Linked DNA regions of Pelodiscus sinensis. The protein of the gene in region 1 interacts with the protein of each later gene in a biochemical or structural test. Links are inferred from orthologs where the notes say so. Each region holds a gene or a part of one and is shown in the gene's direction. Other genes may lie near its edges.

What was found. The genes of interacting proteins can lie anywhere in the genome.
Region 2: the proteins of MAPK8 (region 1) and GSTP1 form a complex in vitro, tested with the Homo sapiens proteins (2 studies listed by BioGRID). The link is inferred for Pelodiscus sinensis from reciprocal best matches to the Homo sapiens genes MAPK8 and GSTP1.

The regions. Positions count from the first base shown.
Region 1 is NC_134718.1:5,442,800-5,453,384, forward strand, and holds the start of MAPK8 (mitogen-activated protein kinase 8), read left to right. Parts: upstream 1-6,660; 5' UTR 6,661-6,745; intron 6,746-10,585. UniProt on the Homo sapiens protein: Serine/threonine-protein kinase involved in various processes such as cell proliferation, differentiation, migration, transformation and programmed cell death.
Region 2 is NC_134714.1:128,931,593-128,942,154, reverse strand, and holds GSTP1 (glutathione S-transferase P), read left to right. Parts: upstream 1-6,727; 5' UTR 6,728-6,842; coding exon 6,843-6,843; intron 6,844-6,920; coding exon 6,921-6,959; intron 6,960-7,753; coding exon 7,754-7,860; intron 7,861-8,370; coding exon 8,371-8,458; intron 8,459-8,822; coding exon 8,823-8,926; intron 8,927-9,227; coding exon 9,228-9,335; intron 9,336-9,695; coding exon 9,696-9,884; 3' UTR 9,885-9,942; downstream 9,943-10,562. UniProt on the Homo sapiens protein: Conjugation of reduced glutathione to a wide number of exogenous and endogenous hydrophobic electrophiles. Involved in the formation of glutathione conjugates of both prostaglandin A2 (PGA2) and prostaglandin J2 (PGJ2).

The DNA.
Region 1 (10,585 bases):
TGTTAGTCTTTAAAGTGCTGCATAGTCCTGTTTTTTGTTATATGTAAATAGTGGGTAATGCTACTTGCCTGCCTCTGAAATTAGAGGTATGAGGGAGTCCTTGCTCAATAGTAAGAGCTGTGAAGTGCACAGAAATAAAAACTGCTAGCAGTGGAAGAGGTAAGATATGAAGTGATGATCAGCTGCTTCCCACTTCCCCCATAGGCCAGAGTATGGTCTGTTTCTTCTGCCTGTTTGCTGATTGTGATGATGCAAAATGAAACAACCTGCTTCAGCTGAAAGGCCTCATATGGAAAGCTTTGTGACAGAGAACCAAGCAGTTATCTGGGTAAGTCTCTTTCACAGGGTCAGGTGTAATCACCAGCCTTCAACTGGTCTGCTGGGAATGGGTTGGGCTCCAATTCTATAGGACAGGCCTATGGACTCCATGACTGAGCCTTTGGCACCAGCAATCTCGGTCTCTCCGTCGCTCCCGGCAGCAAATCCTGCTACCCAGCCAAATTCCTGCGGAAAGGTGTGTTCTGTAGTCCATCAGAGCACAATGCTTTCAATGAGGATTTACAGTGACAAGCAGCCTTTCCAAAAACATGTATTAGTCATCTGCAAGTCCTTAAGTTAGCACAGAGGGTGCGTCCACACAGCACCCTAAACTCAAAATAAAATATGCAATTTGCTCAACATAAATTGCGTATCTTATTTCAATCGTATTTCAAAATAGCTTATTTCGAAATCTGGCGCGTCTACACAGCGCCAAATTTTGAAATAATGCACAATTTCGACATCCCTTAACCCTCGTGGAATGAGGATTACAGGGATGCTGAAATAGCACTACCATAATTTCAAAAAATATTTTGAAATGACAGGTGCGTTTAAAAGACGCAGGATAGCTATTTATAGTCCCGCTATCTAGACATAGACTTGTAGTGTGGGTCTCAGGAACCTTGCACTGAGCTAGCCCTGGCGCTTTAGAGAAAAACTGGTGCCAAAGCAGTTGTAGGAGCACTAGAAAACATTAGCACCAGGCACTAAAATGCTGAGATAAAAGTGCTTTGTAATAGGGGATACTCACCTCTTGAAAACTTCCTAGAGGCTGGGTGCAGACCAGTTCTTTTCTCTCCCCAATCACCCGCTCTAGGCTGCCAGACAAACTTGGCGAGTCCTCCATGGCTTGGTTCTCTGACCTGTCATGAAGTCCACACAAACCCGTTACAGGGTATTAAAAAGTCCTGTCATCCTCCCTCAGCCCTACAACAGCTCCATCTCTGTGCTGTTCATTAGCCCTGTTCTCTTCTTGGGATTTATGCCACCATGGCCGGTAGGGAAACGCAGGTCCATCCTTTACACAGCAGCTGTGCTTGCTTCAATTTCAGTTTATTGCTTCTTCTCTGGGCCTCTTCCTGCCTGGCCCCTTTTAGCTTCACACTTAGCTCAGGGTTAAGGTCCTTAAATCCTTTCTCTCCCTGCAGACCCAGTTTAATCAAAAGTAGTCAGAAACAAACTCTGGCTATTCCTTGAGTTCCTTTAGCTAGAGGAGGAGTGGGTGGGGGAGCAAGGTGGGACCTCTCTGTTCCCAGCCTGGAACTGACCAGAGTCCCTGCAGTGTCTTTTATCTGAGCTGGCTGGATGCTGATTGGTTTCTTGGCACAAAGCCTCTCTATGCAGGCTCAAACCTTTCCTGTTTCTTTCCTGTCTCTGCTGGAACCTGGGGTGGGGTGCCATAGGATTGTGGGGCTCTGGTAGGGAGCCACAAAGGCCACACGCACCTTGCCACATGCAAATATGTCAGGTAACAATTATTAAAGCATGAAGGCACCAGCACAATGAAGAAGGCAGAGAGGCACTGGACAAGCGGATGCATATGTTCCATGGCTGTAAGCCAAAGCTCTGGATGAACAGGCTGAAGGCAAGGGCCTCAGGAAATGTACTGTTTCTAAATGCCAGAGCCACAGCTCCTGTGATGGGGAAGTGCCTTACCAGATGACTGGAATGTGCCAAGTGCAGCTCCCAGACTCAGGGTGTAGCTGGCCATGGACATTTGGGGGCCAGCAGTAGGTTCCAGGGCAAAGGAGCAGAGCTTGGGAGGGGCAGAGAGAAACACACTGAACTGGTGGTGCCAGTCCTTGTGGGGCACAGACACAGTGAACTGGGCAGAGAGCCTGGACCCTTGGGGTACGTCTAGACTACATGCCTCTGTCGGCAGAGGCATGTAAAATAGGCTACCCGACATAGTCAGTGAAGTGGGGATTTAAATATCCCCGGCTTCATTAAAATAAAAATGGCCACCATGCAGTGCTGGATCAGCTGATTGTCAGCACAGCAGGGCAGTCAAGACGTGGGGACGGAAGCTGCTTCATTGACTATGTCGGGTAGCCTATTCTACATGCCTCGGCTGACAGAGGCATGTAGTCTGGACATACCCTTGTTGGCTGTGTCTAGACCGGCAAGTTTTTCTGCAAAAGCAGCTGCTTTTGCAGAAAAACTTGCCAGCTGTCTACACTGGCCGCTTGAATTTCCGCAAAAGCACTGACTTCCTACTGTCTGAAATCAGTGCTTCTTGAGGAAATACTATGCTGCTCCCGTTCGGGCAAAAGGGCCAGTGTAGACAGCTCAGATTTGTTTTGCGCAAAACAGCCCCGATTGCGAAAATGGAAAAGCGTCCGTGCCAATCTAGACGCTCTTTTCCGTTAAAAGCATTTGCGGAAAATCATGCCAGTCTAGACGTAGCCGTTGAGTGCTGAAGGAGAGATTGTATACACTGAACTGGAACTAAACCCAGAAGGATGATGGATGTGCACAATATGCTGGTGGCACCTTCGTTCTTAAGGGGGGGCCACATAAAATTGAGCAGGCCCCAGTCCCTATGGCACATAGTGGGGAGATATGAGTGGGCCTAGTTTCTGGGCTGGCACAGTGTTCTGGGGTCTGGCTGTCTGGGAGCACACAGAGCTGGGGACTGGTCTCTGTTCAGGACACACTGAGGTTGGCAGGGGAGGAGTCTGGTAGGAGTGCCTGTTCTGTTCATTCCTTCTGGGGCATCTGACACTGGCTACTGTCAGAAGACAGGATACAGCCACTCTCTGAGTTACGAACAAGTTACGGATCAACACTTGGTCCGTAACTCGAGCTGTTCGTAACTCGGACCCCATTGAGTTACACGTGATCGCGCTGTTCATAAGCGCGGATCGCGTTCGTATCTCGGGGACCACCTTTACGACCGCTCCATGGGAGCTTTGGTCGTAAGTGCGAACGGTCGTAACTCAACCGTTTACAACTCGGGGAGCGGCTGTACTGTGCAAAATGGGCCGCTATAGCTATTTTTACCTTTTCTTTAAGGAACATTCTTTAAGTCCCTTATTTCATTAATTTGTCATACACAAGGGAAGGCCGAATCTCATCTGTACAGAGCAGTATTAAGTCGTGTAAATGTTGATTGAAGCTTGTTTTCAGGGTAGAATTCAGACTGAAGAAACATGGAATTTTAACAAAAACTAATTCCAAAGCTAAAAATAAAAATTCAAAATTGTGCTGAATTGTGCGCCTAAAATAAAAATCATGGATGTTGCTTCATATTTGAGACGCTGCGTTAAAACATATTAATATTCAGATGTTTTTCCACCTCATCCCTTTGGTTTTTGCACTTGTAACACAAGTAAGGAAATGCTAGGAAAAATTTAGAAAACTTCTGGAAAGGTACATTCATGACTAAGTACCAAAAGCCTAACCACATGGCTCTTCTATTATGTTTCATTGAAACAAGTACTGTGTACAGGGGAAAGGATGGGGCTTTGAAACACGGTACCCTAATCATTCTCCTTCCAATTTTTTAAAATGTGTGGAATTTATTACTTTTATTCCTACCTCAATTGCAGCAGTGGAAAGAACATTTTACTTGTTATCCAGGTATAGAAAAACTGCAGAAACCCGCTAAATATTGACACTGTTAAAGCTGAACTTCAAATTAACATTAATTTCAGTTGGACTGTTAAAGAGCTTTATGAATTAACAAACAAACCCCAAAGATGTGCTGAAATGTTTTAAAACAGGCAAGTACTATTTTAAACAAACTTATGACGACTGCACTGTATGTCTGAGGACAGTTGAAATGTACACATGCCATACCTACTTTGCTATAGGGAAAGGTGTTTCCCTAAAACATCCCTTAAAATAAAGGGTTGTCCCTTATCTATCATGTGGTTTTTCCTTATTTCCATCCCACAAGAGATGGTCACCCTATGGGCTGGTCCTTATTGGGGAAGGACTACTTAGCAGTGGGGACTGACAGGCACATGGAGATGGGGGACGGGTCCCTGTTGGGGGCATATGACACTGAGGTCCTGGGGGTATCCCACGAGGGCATGGAAGGAGGGAGGGGGGGAAAGGAGCTGGTGTCATAGGGTTGTACAGTGGGGAGAACTTAGAGAGCAGGGAGTAGAGTCATGGTGGGGCACAAGGAGCCCGGGTCTGTCCTAGTGGACACACAACATCGCAGGGGTATGTCTGAAAAGGTAGAGGGGGACCATGCAGGGAGGGGCACAGAGATGAAGGGTGGCGCAAGGAACCAGTGGAGTCTGTTCTAGCTTTGTTGGGGGCACACGGAGCTGGGGCGGAGGGGCTGTCTCAGGCTGCACAGAGCAGCGCAGGAACAGGGAAGTATAGGTGGACAAATGGAACAGAATAGGTGCCGTCCAGGAGGCAGGCGGGGGGCAAACAGAGTAGGGGGGGACCTGCCCAGGAGCTGTACTGGGTAGGAGGCTCTGTCAGGAGCCAGATGGAGTGGGGGGCTGTCCAGGAGAGCACACGGGGTGGGGGGCTCTCACGGAGAGAACAGGGTGGAGGGCTCCGCAGATGGGGGCACACGGGCGGGGGGCTCTGACAGGGGAGGGGCACACAGGTGTGGAGGCTCAGATACGGGCACACGGGGCGGGGGGGCTGCCCAGGGTGGGAGGCTCTGAAAGGGAGCACAGGGGGCAGTGGGCACATGGGTTGCGGGTCACACGTGGGAGGGCTGCGGGGGGGGGGGGCTGTCAGGGGGCACATGGGGCGGAGGGGCTGCCGGGGGGGGGGCTCTGACAAGGGGCACGCAGGCGGGGGGCTCTGACGAGAGCGCTGCGTGGGGGCACACGGGGCGGGGAGGGTCGGCGGGGGGGGCACACGGGGCGGGGTGCTGCGCGGGGGGGGCTCAGACGAGAGGGCTGTGCGGAGGGGTCCGCGGGGGGGCTGCGCGAGGCACACGGGGGGGGCACACGGGGGCGGTTGCGGGGGGGCACACGGGGCGGGGGGGCGGGCTGCGGGGGGGCACACGGAGGGGTTGCGGGGGGGCGCACGGGGCGGGGGGCTCTGACGGGGGGGCGCACGGGGGGGTTGCGGGGGGGCACACGGGGCGGGGGGCTCTGACGGGGGGGCGCACGGGGGGGTTGCGGGGGGGCGCACGGGGCGGGGGGCTCTGACGGGGGGGCGCACGGGGGGGTTGCGGGGGGGCACACGGGGCGGGGGGCTCTGACGGGGGGGCGCACGGGGGGGTTGCGGGGGGGCACACGGGGCGGGGGGCTCTGACGGGGGGGCGCACGGGGGGGTTGCGGGGGGGCACACGGGGCGGGGGGCTCTGACGGGGGGGCGCACGGGGGGGTTGCGGGGGGCACACGGGGCGGGGGGCTCTGACGGGGGGGCGCACGGGGGGGTTGCGGGGGGCACACGGGGCGGGGGGCTCTGACGGGGGGGCGCACGGGGGGGTTGCGGGGGGCACACGGGGCGGGGGGCTCTGACGGGGGGGCGCACGGGGGGGTTGCGGGGGGGCACACGGGGCGGGGGGCTCTGACGGGGGGGCGCACGGGGGGGTTGCGGGGGGGCACACGGGGCGGGGGGCTCTGACGGGGGGGCGCACGGGGGGGTTGCGGGGGGCACACGGGGCGGGGGGCTCTGACGGGGGGGCGCACGGGGGGGTTGCGGGGGGCACACGGGGCGGGGGGCTCTGACGGGGGGGCGCACGGGGGGGTTGCGGGGGGCACACGGGGCGGGGGGCTCTGACGGGGGGGCGCACGGGGGGGTTGCGGGGGGGCACACGGGGCGGGGGGCTCTGACGGGGGGGCGCACGGGGGGGTTGCGGGGGGCACACGGGGCGGGGGGCTCTGACGGGGGGGCGCACGGGGGGGTTGCGGGGGGCACACGGGGCGGGGGGGCTCTGACGGGGGGCGCACGGGGGGGTTGCGGGGGGCACACGGGGCGGGGGGGCTCTGACGGGGGGGCACGCGGGGGGGTTGCGGGGGGCACACGGGGCGGGGGGCTCTGACGGGGGGGCGCACGGGGGGGTTGCGGGGGGCACACGGGGCGGGGGGCTCTGACGGGGGGGCGCACGGGGGGGTTGCGGGGGGGCACACGGGGCGGGGGGCTCTGACGGGGGGGTTGCGGGGGGGTTGCGGGGGGCACACGGGGCGGGGGGGCTCTGACGGGGGGGCGCACGAGGGGGTTGCGGGGGGCACACGGGGCGGGGGGGCTCTGACGGGGGGCGCACGGGGGGGTTGCGGGGGGCACACGGGGCGGGGGGGCTCTGACGGGGGGGCACGCGGGGGGGGTTGCGGGGGGCACACGGGGCGGGGGGGCTCTGACGGGGGGGGGGCTGGGAGCCGCGCAGGTCCGGGGGGGGGGGGACGCTCGCGCGGCCGGCGGCGCAGGGGGCGGGGCGGGCGGGGCGCTGCGTCTGTGCGCGCGGCCCGGCTCCGGCTCCGGCTCGTTGCTGAGCGGCGGGGCGGTGAGTGCGGGGCCGCGGCCTGTGTCGGCGCCGGGCGGCCCGGCCCGGTTCGGCTCGGCGCTGGGCGGGGGCGGCGGGGCTAGTGGGGGAGGGGCGGCAGTCACAGTTGGCGGTTGTGGGGGGAGGGGCGGGGGTCGGTGGAATGGTCCCGGGGGGGGAGGGGTGGCAGAAGTGGGTCGGTGCAATGGTCCCGTGGGGGGGGGAGCGGGGTCCCGGGCCCGCCCCCCCCCCCCCCCCCCGTGCAGCGCCCTGCCCCTCTTGTGCACGGTAGCAGGTGGCTGCTTTGCCCCCGCGCGTTGCCCTGGTTCCCGTGGGGGGGCCTGGCTGCAGGGGGGGGGCCGGGGGGGGGGGCTGTCTCTTTGTTGGGCTGGCATCACCAGAGAGGGGCTCTGCTCCTCACCAGCCAGGGTTCCCAAGCTGTGGCAGGGTTTCCTCTCCTCTTGCAATATCTCCCCTGCAGGGCCGCTTGGCACAACTTGATTTTCATTGTTTTAAAAATAATTCTGACAAATATCAGTTTTATTTGAAACTGTGTTTTCAGTCTGTCAGTGTTCACAGAGATGGAAAATAAGGGGGGCTGGTCAGACAAGAATAGAATGACAGTCAGCGCTGAGATTAAACAAGTTAAATAGTCATTAAAACACAAATTGTCAACATCATGCCAGAATATACAAAATACACGTCCTTAAGTCAAACTCTAATAAGTTTTTCTGACTTGGCATAGCTGTATGTTTTTATTATTATCAATGAAAATATCTTTTTGGTTTTCATCACCATTTATTGATAAACTAGATTATTTTTCTCCAAATTTACTTGTATTTTATTGTAAGCTTTTCAGGAAAAAGAGGTTTGAGTTGCTGGAGAATGTAGCAGTTTGAAGTGAATGAGATCTGTAACAAAATTCCAAATGACTGCTTTTGAAAAATGCCTTTTTGTTCTTCTGGGATATTTGACCTCCAAAGACAGCTGCTTAGGAAGTCTGGCAATATTTTTGTCTCTTCTGAAAATCTGCATTTTAAGCCTCATAATTTTTGTCAGAAATAACTGAAATGTTTGCAGTTTTTCTGTTGCCCTCCTCTAGTTTCTCTTTTTTATGAGTACTTTAGTGTCAGATTTGACTCTTCAAGCTTCAGATTTTTTTTTCACATTTTTTAATGCCATGGTTTTATCAATGCAAAGTGCAAGAGCCCGTTAAATGGTCTCTGTTAATAAGCTGCAAATGTGAATCCCATGAGCCTTCTTTCTTCTCAATTATAGTACCATAGTTGGGTTTATACTGTTTTGTTGAATTTCAGTGTTATATAGAGGGAGCCTTGCAAAATTATTATAAACATTTTTCCAGCCCTGGTAGCATATCTGCTCACTTTGCCTGACTCTAATGATGTAAACACAAACAATGTTTTACCCACCTATGTAAAGAAATTAGTTGCTCTAGGGTAAGTTCTGCAACTTCTTGTATTGCAACTTAGTTTTATTTAAAGGTTTGGAGATGACTATTGGTAAAGGCCTGTGATGAATTCACTGAAAAACTAGTTTAATTTTCAGAATTGCAGGCAAATTCATTCTTCTTTGGATTAATCAGAGGCGTAAAACATTGTTTTGTAGCATGTTTTATTTTGTTTGCATAAATTGGTGCACTGTCAAATATTGAGTTAATTTAGAATTAAATCAGATTGTTACCTGAAGGGAGATAGGGTCACATTTAGCTAAGAGTACTAATTAAAAGTGAGTTCAGTGACTTTTCAGACCCTTCATATTGTACATTCCGTAATGAAGAATATATAATAACAAAGGCATAGCTGATGAAATTCAAATAGGCCTATGCTTCTGTTTTGACCTCAGTCCATGGAGGCAGCCATCTTAAATTATTTTTCTTGTATATGAATCCAGTGGCACTTTTCAATGTTTCTATCAAGTAAGTTCTAATGTCGTGGTGTCCAACATGCTAGCTGCTAGCCACATGTGGCTATTTGCCCCGTTGAGTGTGGCTAGGACACCACAGTTCTCATGTATAGAGCAATACACTTTCCCTCTATGTGTATGTGTGTGAAACTGTTTTCTTCACAAGCACAGTCCTGTACTAGTAGAGTGAACTTATTGCTACTCTTTGCTAGTGCTGGATTTTAATTGTACACTTCTTAGTTTGATGTCCATTCTCATTTCTTGTACGCTAATCAGTGAGATCTGATTCACATGTGTAGGGAGTGGGTGATTAGGGAACATACCTGTGGTAGTGGATGAAATGTCCAGGCATTGAGTTTGGCTTTTGGAGAAGGTCTCTGAAAAGTATCAGACAAGAATGAGATCTGATGACCATAGATTGTATTTGATACACATTCACATACACAAAAACTCAATAACTGACTCTGTCGCCCAAATGGAGCTTTCTGAGTGTCCTGGTTCTCCCACTAAATGTATTGGAGTTTTTGTTTCTGTCTTTGCAATTGGGTACTGTAGAATGATTGACTCCCATTTCTGAGCAAGTTTTTTTTATTGGTTAAATTTAATTTAACCTTGAAATATCAATTTATATCTGAACTGCGGGGAGTAGAGTGGAGGAATGGACAACGGAGATCTGAAATGTTGGAAATGTGAATCTTTCGGAATAAGATTATAGACTTTAAAAAGACTATAGAAAAAACTGCAGCATTTTATTTGGTAAACGTGACTCCTGTGTGCACTGAAAACCATATTACCTTGTTTCTTATTGACTACAGGTTGCATCTCTCAAATCTGGGATTCTCTCTTCTGTGGTCTCAACATCTGTGGGCTAGAGATGTTAAATTTCAATTAATCAACTAATTGAGTCGTCGATGGAATTTCCATTGACGACTCAATTAGTCAATAAGGGGGATGCTGGCTATCCCACTGCGCCTGTCCCTTTGAAATGTACGAGAGCTGCCTATGGCTCTTGTACATTACATCAGAGAGGTACAGTAGTTGGGATGCCTGTGCCTCCCTTGTCCCCCATGGAGATGGTGCTGGAGGAACTGGTTTTTAAGCCAGCTCCCCCCAGCCCCGGCTCCTACTCCCCCTCCTTGTTGCCTCTCTCTGACAGAGGCAGCAAAGGGGGGAAGCAACTAGACGAGTGACTACTTGTCAACCTGACTAGTTGCTTACATCCCTACCATGATCCAGCATGTCTATGGATGTTCCTGAATGAGAGACCTGGGTGGGGCAGGAGGGCCTGCAGCTGGGAGCCCGTGCAATCCAGCAAGTCTGCTAGCAGCGGGGTCCCAGCAGCCTGGGATACTCTGCTGCGTGGCAGTGGGGCTGAGACCGCAGCAGCCCAAGAGGGGAAGCCTAGTCTGGGAGGTGGCAGGGCCGCAGCAGCCCGGGCGGCAGTGGCAGCAGCAGCAGCAGTGTGATTGGGGCTGCCTGCTGCCCGTCAGTGGAACCAGAGCTGTGGCTGCAGCAGCCCAGGAGGGCGAGCCAGCCTGGCAGAATCGGCATGGCCTGGGCCACGTGCTGCAGCGTTGGGGTTGTGGCAGCCCAGTAGGGCAACATGCCGTTCCGGCAGTGGGGCTAGAGCTGCCCGACTGGCCCACAGACAGACCAGCCAGGCTCAAGGAGCCGGCATTGGGCTGAGTGGCTGGTATCAGGGAACCTCCTGTTTGGCAAATTCGCTCTTCTAGGACCTGTCAGGTCCCAGGAGTGCTGGATAAGAGAGGTCCAACCTATAGTAAGATTTTATTCCTGTTAGCCCTGTAGAACCAATTCAGCAATGGGAGGATGAGCAGGATTCACTTCTGGCTTGTGCATCACCACTGATAGCATTGCTAGTTAGGTTTCTGATGTTAGAATCTTCATTGTGATGATTCATGAGTCAGAAGCCCAGCA
Region 2 (10,562 bases), on another chromosome or scaffold:
TTGTTGTGCTTTTCCTGCAGTACCAAGCTCCACCAATCCTGTTTACAGGTATTAGCTGAGAAGTAGTATCCTTACAGGACTTCCCTGACACCACTCCTAGCATGGTCAAAAGATCTTCTATTTAGATGATCTGGTCTGTTTGACACTTGTGGTGTTTTTCAGTGCTTCTGTGAGCTACAGCAGGCATTCCGAGACTGTTCTTTGGTCCCCTTCGGTGTGAGCCCCCTTCAATCAGGGGTCTCAATTTAGGAATGTCTTTGGGGGGTTAGGTGAGGCAAAGACATGAGGGGACCTGGCATGGTGGCTGGCCCTCTGTGCAGCTGCATTTGATCTCCAGGGTTACACGACCAAGCAGAAAGTCCACCACACTTAGGGCTTCCTTGTGGTTTCTACTCCCAGCACAGAGACCTTTCCCACCCCCTTTTCCTAGAGAACTGTGATCTTCCAGCCGCTGGTCTTAGCCTCTTGCTGTATTTAAACCCACCCTCCTCCCGGAAATTGCTCCCTCCTCCCTTTTCTCGAGTGGGTCAGTAGCATTTGCACCCACAGGCATGTTCCCTAGCAGAGTTCTCATCCTGTCTTAAAGAGACAGAGTTAGGTTCCCCAAGCGCCTCAGGAACAACCCTTTGCAACAGTGGGACCTGGACTGGGGTATCTTCTGTCACCCCCCCCTCCCCAAGAGCTCAGTTGTGTGACTGCTCCTCTCCAGGAGATAAGTGACAACTCCTTAAAGCCTGAGCCACAGGTTGGATGCCTGGGAGCACAGACACTGACCCAGCGTTTCTGTCCTGGACACCCCCCCCCAATAATGCGATCAGCAAGGAAACATTCCTGTGTTCCTGCTAATTCCTTTTTGGCTTCCTCCTCTGGGGCCCCCTCCAAGACACCCCCCCTCCCTCATGGACTCCGATCTCCGTCCAGCTGTGCCGAGCTGGCAGCTAACAGCCTGGACCGTTCCTTCACGCGCAGGCACGAGTCGGGTTTGCCTCCAGCTACAGGGTCCACGCAACCCTCGCCCACCTCAGCGGTCTCCAGGATTCCACCCGCCCCTCTGGGCTTCCCAGCAGGGCACATCTCCCTGAGCAGTGGTTTTCAAACGAGGGGTCGTGCCCCAGGACTGGACGGCGGAATGCCGGGCGCTGGGTCTCATTGCTGCAGGGGGAGCAGGTGACCAGTGGGCGGGGGGGAGCGGGGGAGGCTAAGGCAGCTCCCTGCCTCTCCTGGCACTGCAGACTGTGCTGCGCCCCAGAAGTGGCTGACAACAGACCTGGCCCCTAGCTGCAGGGGGCAGAATGCACAGGGCTCCGTGCACTGCCCCTGCCCGGAGCACGAGCTCTACATTCCCAGTCTGGGAACCAGCTGCTGGCTGCTTCCGGGGGCATTGGTGGCCGGAGAGGCAGGAAGCTGCCTTAGCACCCCCCCCTGCACGGCTGGCCGGGAGCTGCTCAAGATAAGCCCCTCCTGCCTCATCCCTGACCCCCCAAAACCAGAGCCCCTCCTACACCCCAAAGCTCCCACCCCAGAGCCCACACTCTAGTCAAATTACATTGGGTCGCGGGGCAACAATAATTTTCTTCACGGGGGGGGGGGGGGGGTGTCATAAGAAAAAAAGTTGGAAACCCGCTGCCCAGAGTGAGGGCTGTGCTTTGTTCCTCTGCCGCCTGCTGGCAGCCAGCAACCTGGACAGTTTTCTCCCTGTGAGGCAACACGCCCTCCCTTTCTGCTGCCTTCAAGCTCGGGGCAGGAACTGGTCTCAACCACCCCCACCCCGGAAGCATAGACTTTCCCACCACGGCAAAGGAATTAAAGAGACACTGTCCCCTTCCTCCAGCAGTACCTGAGACTTTACCCTTTTCCTCTGGGGTTTCAGTGGGATACGCAACAGAGGGGGCCACAGAATTGCTGGGCCCCTGGGCAAGATGTGTGTGTGGGAGGGGTGGGGGATGTATTCTTGGAAGGGGCACGGCCTCAGGAGAAGAGGCAGAGCTGGGACTAGCCCTTCAGGGGTGCCCAGCTCCTGGAGCTCTGGTCTTGATTTAAAGGGCCCAGGACACCAGCTGCCGCTGCTGCTGGAAATCCAGGTCTCTTCTGAATCATCAGACCCAGAGAAAATTGCCCCCCCCCCCCCATCAGCGGGCCTGATACTCAACATCAACCCTGCAATCCTTTTCCCCATCAAATCTTTTATCTGGTTCTGCCTCTTCATTGGTGCTTTCTTCTTCTTTCTTCCTCCCCCCTGGCTAATTCCTGGATTGCCATTTCTTTGACTTCCTCTGCCTGTCTCGGTTCCAAAACTCACTGGTGTGTGCTCCCGGCCTTGCATTCGCTGCTTTCGTGACTTCCTTCGGGGCTTCAGTTTCTTCTTTCTGAAATTCTTTTTGTCTCCAACGGTTTTGGGGGTTCGCTTGCTTTTTCCTCTGCCTGCGATCTGCACAGCTCCACTTTCACAACAGTTTCACTGTTTTCCCTCCTCTTCCTGCTTTTCTGTCTCTAGCTCCCTGACCCCAAATAAACCAACAGAAAATAACAGATTGGTAATCTCTCGGATTCATCTCGAGCCATGACACTTAAAATTGCCATTCTGTATGAAGTGCAAATCTCTGAGCAACAAGCTGGACATGTGACCCTGTTCGCATATGCCACTGTGCCCCCTGGGGTGCCACCTAGAATGGGGGTACCACTGAGCCCCTAACCCACCAGCCAGGGCTCCATCTCTCACTGTGCTGCTGTGACAAGCTGAAAACCCTCAGGCCTGCCCTTTCATTAGCCCACACACGGGTAGGGACACACCCAGTTGCAGTACAAGCAGGCTGTCTGACCAGCCCCTGCAAGGAACCAACAACAGAAAGGCTCCAGTGAAGGCAACTCCCGTCCCCTGGGCTCCAATCCCTCGAGTGTAACTCCCAAATAACACTGCCTGGTGCTGCACAGTGAACCATGCAGCATAAGCTCAAAGGTCACCCCCTCCTTCACTGTGGGAGGGGCCTTTGCGCCTTGAGCTATGGTTCCTACACACTTCACTCCGACTTGACGGTTTAGATAAAGCAAAAACAAAGTTTATTAGCTACAAGAGGTAGAATGTCAGTGATTATAAGGGATAGCAAACAGAGCAAACCAGTTTACCCAGAAAATATAGGCGGCGAGTTATATGGGCCCATGGTGCCCAGGCAGCAGGAATATTCCTGCTCCACCAAAGTTTGAGGCCAAGGCCCGCTCTTGAAGTTCCCCTCCAGTGCATTCCCCAGCTCATGTGATCCCAACTGCATATCCCACAGCCTTGCCGGCCACCCCTGGGTGATTTAAAATGGCCCAGGGGCTCCTGCCGTCAACAGTAGCAGCTCAGTTGGGCTAAGGCAGCTTCCTGCCACTTGCTCTGTGCCATTCCTTTCATGTTCCTGTGGCCCCGGGGAGGGAGGGGATCTTGGTGCACTGCCCCCATTTCATGCACACGCTAGAAATCCCTTTAGCCTGAGTCCAGCACTCCCCCGCCCACCACCGTTTAGTCTTAGTTCCTCAGGTGTCTCCAGGACACTTCCCAGAGGGGAAAGAAGAACCCCCTCCCCCATGATGTCCCTCCCTGCCTGAGGCAGCTTTAGCACATGGTGGGAACCCTGTGTCCCAAACTCGGTTTGTGGAAAAACACTGGCACATCCCAAGGTGGAGTCTGGGATCACGTGACCTGGCCACAGGCCCTTGCTGAGTCACGGCAGCCCTTACTCACAGGTTGCCTGGAGTGTCTTGAGAAAGGCTCAGGTGGTGGATACGCTCCTCCTAAGGCTTGTTGCTTTTCCCCTAATGGCCCATTACCAGGAATAGGCCCTTCCCAAGCAGCTACCTAGCCTGAAAGCATCATGCCCAGTGGGTATTGCCCTCATGAAACTCCACCTGAAACCCAGGCACATAGTCACCACTGAGAACGTCTGACACAAACCTGAGCCAGGCCAACACACGGAATGCTCCTATCGGGCAAATCGTCACTTCTCTAATGACGCCGCCCGTAACGTCTCTTGTACAAAACACAGCGTCACGATGCCAGAATCATACTGCCACAATAGCACTGTGAAGAATACGGGGTACTGACCATGTCACAGCAGGCGTGCTTTCCTGCCGCCTGGCCACTGCGAAGGAGTAACAGGGTAATTCATTCTTTAAAAAACCCCTTGATTTTGGCTGAATGAACCAGTGAACTTGTCAGAATGAAGAATGAAATGGATCACAATAAAACATGTAGCATACTTAGAAGGCTAGGGAAACACACACTTAGAAGCAAGGCAATTGGTGAAGGGAGACCTGGGGGGGCCACGTGCCCACCCCCAAGCCTGAAGAAGGGCAGAAACAACTCCCCTCAGCTCAGTCCTATCTTTGCTCCATCCCTGTCACAGCTCTTCCTCCTCCCCTGAGCGATGCAGCTGAGGGTAGGGATGTTAAATATTGGTTAACTGAATAGTCGAGTAACCTCATGAATTCTCATCGATTAGTCAACTATTCTATAGTTCCCGGGGGCGGGGCCAGCAGCTACTGTATCAGAGGCAGCAGCACGGGGTGTAAGAAGGGAGCTGGTCCATGAGGGGAACCAGTTTAAAAACCAGCTCCCCTTGTGGATTGGCTGCCCTGTCGCCCAGAGCTGCTGCCTCTGATAAAGAGGCAGCAGCGTGGCGTGGCAACAATCCCTGTCTAAGGGGAATCTGAGCTCTCCGACCCAGCACAAGCCAGAACTGAGCCAGGCTGCCTGCCTGCTTGGCTCCTAATACACTTTAAATGCAAAGCTGCAGACCTGGTGTGAGCCAGAACTCAGTCGGGCTGCTGGTCAGCCTGCTAAAAAATTTACTGGCAAGTGTGAGGGAGGGAAATATATGTAGTCTATAGCAGTAACCTGTAAGCTTTTGCTTCTCGGTTAATGGACGATGCTATTACATCCCTAGCTGAGGGAACTTGCAGGGCTGGGCGTCCGTAGCAACAGCAGGGGTGTGTCCCCCCCACACTCACTGGCAATGACAGGGCACACAGAGCAACACAGCTCCAGTTTGTTTCACGCTCTCAGCTGTGTTGCTCCGTTTCTCACAGGTGAATGCAGGTTGGTCCTGCCTCTCCCCCAAGCGACGTGGCCGGGGGACCAGAGTGAGACACTTGCCCTACTGCTGCTACTGAGTATGAGGGGGGAAACCCAGCTGTGGGCACCAGACACCCCCCCCCTTTGCTAGTCCCCCCACCGGCTACTGGCCAGCCCTTTGTCCCTCCCACCCATGGCGTTTGGGCCATGTGCCTCCTCGTGCCCTACCCTCACTCATCGCCTGGGTCTAGAAATATAACAATTCAGTAGAAGATCCACATTTAGGTATTAGGGATGTGAATGGCTATGTAGTTAACCGAATAGAGCTCTGCACGGATATCTGCGTCTGCAAAAAACGATCCCTGGATATCCACATCCACGGATGCGCATACCCACAGATTTGCCGGGCTCTACTTATAAAGAAAACGGCAAATTAAAAGAACACAGAATGACCTTATTCATTTAAATCTCATGCCTTTGGGGTGTATGGCATTATTTTTGAATGCTTGCAGCTGTCAATATCTCCTGGGCTTGTATCCCTCTATTTAGTAAAAATCACAGTTGAAATTGCTTTTGAGAACACTTGCATACAAGGTAATACAGTTCCTAAAGGTATTTAGGCAACTCTTGCCATTTTCAAAAGCATCACAGTGCTTTCAACCTTTACAAACCTGGCCTGTGCTGAATATTTGGGAACCGACTTCTACACACAAGGAGGGTGATGGAGAGAGAAGCAAGCCCCCTGGTTGGATCAAGGGGAACGGAAGAAGTTTGGGCAGGAGCCAGGAAATCAGTCAGCCTGGTGTCATATGCTCTCCAGAAGAATAAGCTTGTGTATTAAAAACCTGGAGGAAAAACAGAAGGGAAATGTGGAATGCAAGCTGATTGCTGCGATACAAACATGGGGTTCCCAGAGTTCTCAGCAGTAGGGTCGTTTTCAGCGACTCCCGGAGTTCTCAGCAGTAGGGTCGTTTTCAGCGACTCCCGGAGTTCTCAGCAGTAGGGTCGTTTTCAGCGACTCCCGTATTAGAAACACGCAGTGACGGCAGCCGCCCGGTGCTAACGGAGTTACAGGATGATGTGCTAAGAGTAATACAAATCAAATCCTTTTAAACAAGGAGGGAGTCCTATGGCACCTGAGAGACTCATGGCTGTATCTGGGCATCAGCTTACCTGTCTCAGCTGGGACAGGTATGGAGTCACAGAGCCCAGGGGTGAACTAGGTATGTGTGGAGGTCACCACAGCCCCTGGGAGCGAGTCAGTGAGTGATGCTTCCCCTTCTGCTGTGCATCCTTGGGCCGATCCAGGCCACGACTGGGTTGGAGCTGGGAGGGTGGGGGTGAATCTCCCCCGGCTATGGCCAGAGTGGGCTGGGACGGGCATCTGACGAAGTGGGTTTCTGCCCATGAAAGCTTGTGCCCAAGTACATTGTGAGTCTTCCAGGTGCCGCAGGCCTCCTCGGGTTGTTTCTACAGACTAGGGAAGTGAACCCCTGCATACGCACCCCAAGGAGCAAGTAGCCTGGCCCCACAGCCGCCCCCCAGGGACGAGTGCCAAGACCTGCCCCCCCAGGCGGCCCCCCAGGGGCAGGGGGTCCCAGTGGGGCTGGGCTGAGGCAGGGCAGGGAGCTGCCCGGCGCTGGGACGCGGCCCGCTCCCTGGGTCCCGGGAAGCGGCTAAGCCCGGCCCCAGGGCTGGGGGCGGGGAGGGGGCGGCGCCCGTCTCGGAGCTTTTAAAGCCCCGGGGGCGGGTGACTCAGCACTTCGCCAGCGAGCGGGATCCGGCTGCAGAGAGTGAGTGTCCCCCCCCGCGCCCCCAATCCCCCCCCCCGCCCGGCTCGCTAACCCGGCGCCTCCTTTTCTCTCCGCAGTGCCTGGGCCCTTCACCATCACCTACTTCCCCGTGCGCGGTGAGTGACGGCGGGACCCCGGCCAGCGGGCTGCCCAGCCCGGGGTGCGGCGCCTGCCCCCCAGCGCTGCCCGGGCCTCCTGCAGCCCCCCCGTTGTCCTAGCCCTGCCCCCCGCCCTGCAGCCCCCCCGTTGTCCTAGCCCTGCCCCCCCGCCCTGCAGCCCCCCCGTTGTCCTAGCCCTGCCCCCCCCGCCCTGCAGCCCCCCGTTGTCCTAGCCCGGCCCCCCCCCGCCCTGCAGCCCCCCGTTGTCCTAGCCCGGCCCCCCCCCGCCCTGCAGCCCCCCGTTGTCCTAGCCCTGCCCCCCCCGTTCTGCAGCCCCCTGTTGTCCCAGCTCTGGGCTCCCCTTTAGCTCGGTGGGTGCCCTGGGTGCAGTGGGGGTGTTGGGGGGCAGTCCTGAGTGATAAGAGGGTGGGGAGCAGGGGGGAGGGGCTGGGTGGTAAGGAGGATGGGGGTGCCTGTGCCCTGGGGGCTGGAGGGGGCTGTGGGGAGCTGCAGGGTGTGTGCATGGGGTAGGGGCAGGTCTGTGCGTGCCCTGTGGGAGTTGCAGAGGGATGTGTCCATGCCCTGGGGTCTGGGTGGGGCCATGGGGCGCCGCAGGGTGTGTGTGCGGGAGCTTGTCCGTGCCCAGGGGCGCTTCAGGGTGTGTGTGAGCCGTTTGCCAGGAGCCCTGCAGGGTGTGTGTGTGTGGGGGGGTGTCTGTCCATGCCCAGGGGTGCTTCAATGTGTGTGTGGGGGGGGGGATCTGTCTGTGCCCTGGGGGGCCACAAATGAGGACCTGCCCCTGCCGTGTGCAGGGCGCTGCGAGGCCATACGAATGCTGCTGGCCGACCAGGAGCAGGAGTGGAAGGAGGATGTGGTGACCATGGAGCTGTGGCAGAAGGGAGAGCTCAAGAAATCCTGTGTGAGTGAAACCTGCCCAAGCCTCGGTGCTGGAGGGGCCCTGAGGGGAGGAGGGACCCCAGCTGGAGGAGTGGGGGGAGTGACCCAGTGGGGAGGGGGGACCCAGCTGGAGGAGCCGGGAGGGGGGACCCAGTGCGGAGGGGAGACCCAGTGGGGAAGGGAGACCCAACTGGAGGAGCAGGGAGATGGCACCATGACTGGTAGGGGGCATCTCAGGGGAGACTGGAGACCTGTTCCCGTGGTTGAGAAGGGGGCACCCCTAGGGGAGATGGGAGGCATGACCCATGGAGAGGGAGGAGGGGGTCCTAGCAGGGGGTGGGGGCACTGGTTCAGAGTCCTCTCCCCCTATTGCTTTCTGGTCTGTCTTCCTGTTGCCCCACTGAGAGGCTGCTCTGCCCCATGCCCCTCGGGGAGCGGGTCCCTCGGGGAGCGGGTCCCATGGGCTCACCCTGCCCTGCTGGCCCCATCCAGGACTAGTGACCCCTCACCTCAGATTTCCTGTTCCCTACAGCTGTTCGGGCAGCTGCCCAAGTTTCAGGATGGAAACGTAACCCTGTACCAGTCCAACGCCATCCTGCGGCACCTGGCCAGGAGCTTCGGTAGGGCTGTGAGGGGCCAGGCACTGGCAGCTGGGGAGGGGGGCTTCTTGCACTGGTGGGGGCTCTCCTTTGGCAGGGCTGTGCGGGAAGGAGTTTGGGGGGGCTGGGCTGGGCGTAGGGGGCGAGTATGGGGGGGCAGAATGTTGGGGGGGCAGGTCTCCTGAGGGTGTGGGGGGCAGAATGTTGGGGGGGCAGGTCTCCTGAGTGTGGGGGGAGGCGGCTGAGGGAGGGCCCCTTGCTGATGGCGGCTCTTGCTCGGGCAGGGCTATAGGGACAGGACCAGCAGGAGGCAGGGCTGGGTGTGTGGGGAGAGGGCTGGGGGAAGCCCCCCTCCCCCCACTGATGGCGGTTCTCGCTCTGGCAGGGCTGTATGGGAAGGACCAGCAGGAGGCGGCGCAGCTGGACATGGTGAACGATGGGGTGGAAGATCTGCGCCTCAAATACGCCCAGCTCATCTACCAGAACTATGTGAGCCAGGGCAGAATCTGCATCGGGCAGGAGGCCAGAGGGGGCGCACCCCCGCAGAGTGGGGGCAGGGAATGGGGCAGCTCCAGCACTGGGGGGTAGGCCCAGTCAGGGTGGGGCAGGAGTGGCGCCTCTGCTCGGAGGCCGGAGTGGGCCCCATTGCAGTGCGGGCAGGGGTGACTTGGGGCTCAGTGGGGGTGTGGGACCAGCATGGGGGCAGGCCCCATTGTGGTGTGGGTGGGCCCTGTTGTAGTGGGGGGGTGTCTGGGGGAGCAGCTAGACCCTGACCCCCTGCCTCCCCCAGGAGAAGGGTAAGACAGCGTACGTGGAAGCCCTGCCAGCCCAGCTGCGCCCCTTTGAGAACCTGCTGTCCCAGAACCGCTCTGGCCAGGCCTTCATCGTCGGAGATAAGGTGAGTGTGTTGTGGGGAGGGGGTTGGAGATGAGGTGAGTGTGTTGTGGGGAGGGGGTCGGAGATGAGGTGAGTGTGTTGTGGGGAGGGGGTTGGAGATGAGGTGAGTGTGTTGTGGGGAGGGGGTTGGAGATGAGGTGAGTGTGTTGTGGGGAGGGGGTATCTCCCCACTCCTGCCCCCCAAATCAGCTGGGGTGTTTCTTTGTCAGTCTTCTCCTAGCCCAGCTGGCCAGGGTCTCATTGTCCCTGGGCCCCACACAATGGGGGTGTGGCCAAGCTGCCTGGGGGTGTGGCTGTGCCGACCCCGCCCTTCCACATGCAGGGGCGTGGCCATGCGCTGACCCCATCCCTTTCCCCCCAGATCTCTTTTGCAGACTATAACCTGGTGGAGCTGCTGCGGAACCACCTGGTCCTGGCACCCGGCTGCCTGGCCTCCTTCCCTCTGCTGGCGGCTTACGCGGAGCGGGTGGCTGCCCGGCCCCACCTACACACCTACCTGCAGTCGACCGCCCACCGCGACCGGCCCATCAACGGCAATGGCAAGCAGTGACCTGCGTGCACTGACAGAGGGGCCGCCCTGTGGCACAATAAACAGCTACTGGACCAGACCCCTGCCTGCTATTATGGGGGGCGCAGGAGTGGGGAGAGGGGTTGGTGCTTGATGCATGAGATGAAGCCTATTTCCAGGTGCTGCAGCAGCCCCCCACGGCGCTAGCAGGTGCCCCCTCCCCTAGGCTGCCCAGGCTGGAGGGCCATCCCAGGAGCTGGGATTTTGGGAACAACTGCTGCTGTCCTAAGCAGCTCGGGGAGGGGGGAGGTGTCGGGTGTGTTACCCAGGCACATGGGCTACCTCGTCCCAGAGCTATTCTGCTCCTTGGCTGTACCCAAGAGCCTGCGGCGCCTAGGGAAGATCCCGTCCCACCACTGCGGTGGCTGCCAGGAGCCCTGGAGGGCTGTGCCCCCATCCAGAGGGGAGAGTGCTGTGGGAATGGCATGCTCTGCATTTATCCTGCCCCATTCCATCGGGCCAGGCTCGGCTGGGGGCAGGCTGTACCGCCAGGGCTGTGCCCGCAAGCCCTGGGACGCCAGGGAGGCCTGGCAGACTCACCGCCACCGAGAGCCTTGGGGCGGGGGCAGGAAGCATGCTGTGGGGCAGGTTGCCTGGTGCAGAGGTTGGTGCTGCTCCTGGAGGTCTTAGCCCATAAAATCCCATTCTCCCCATGTCTAA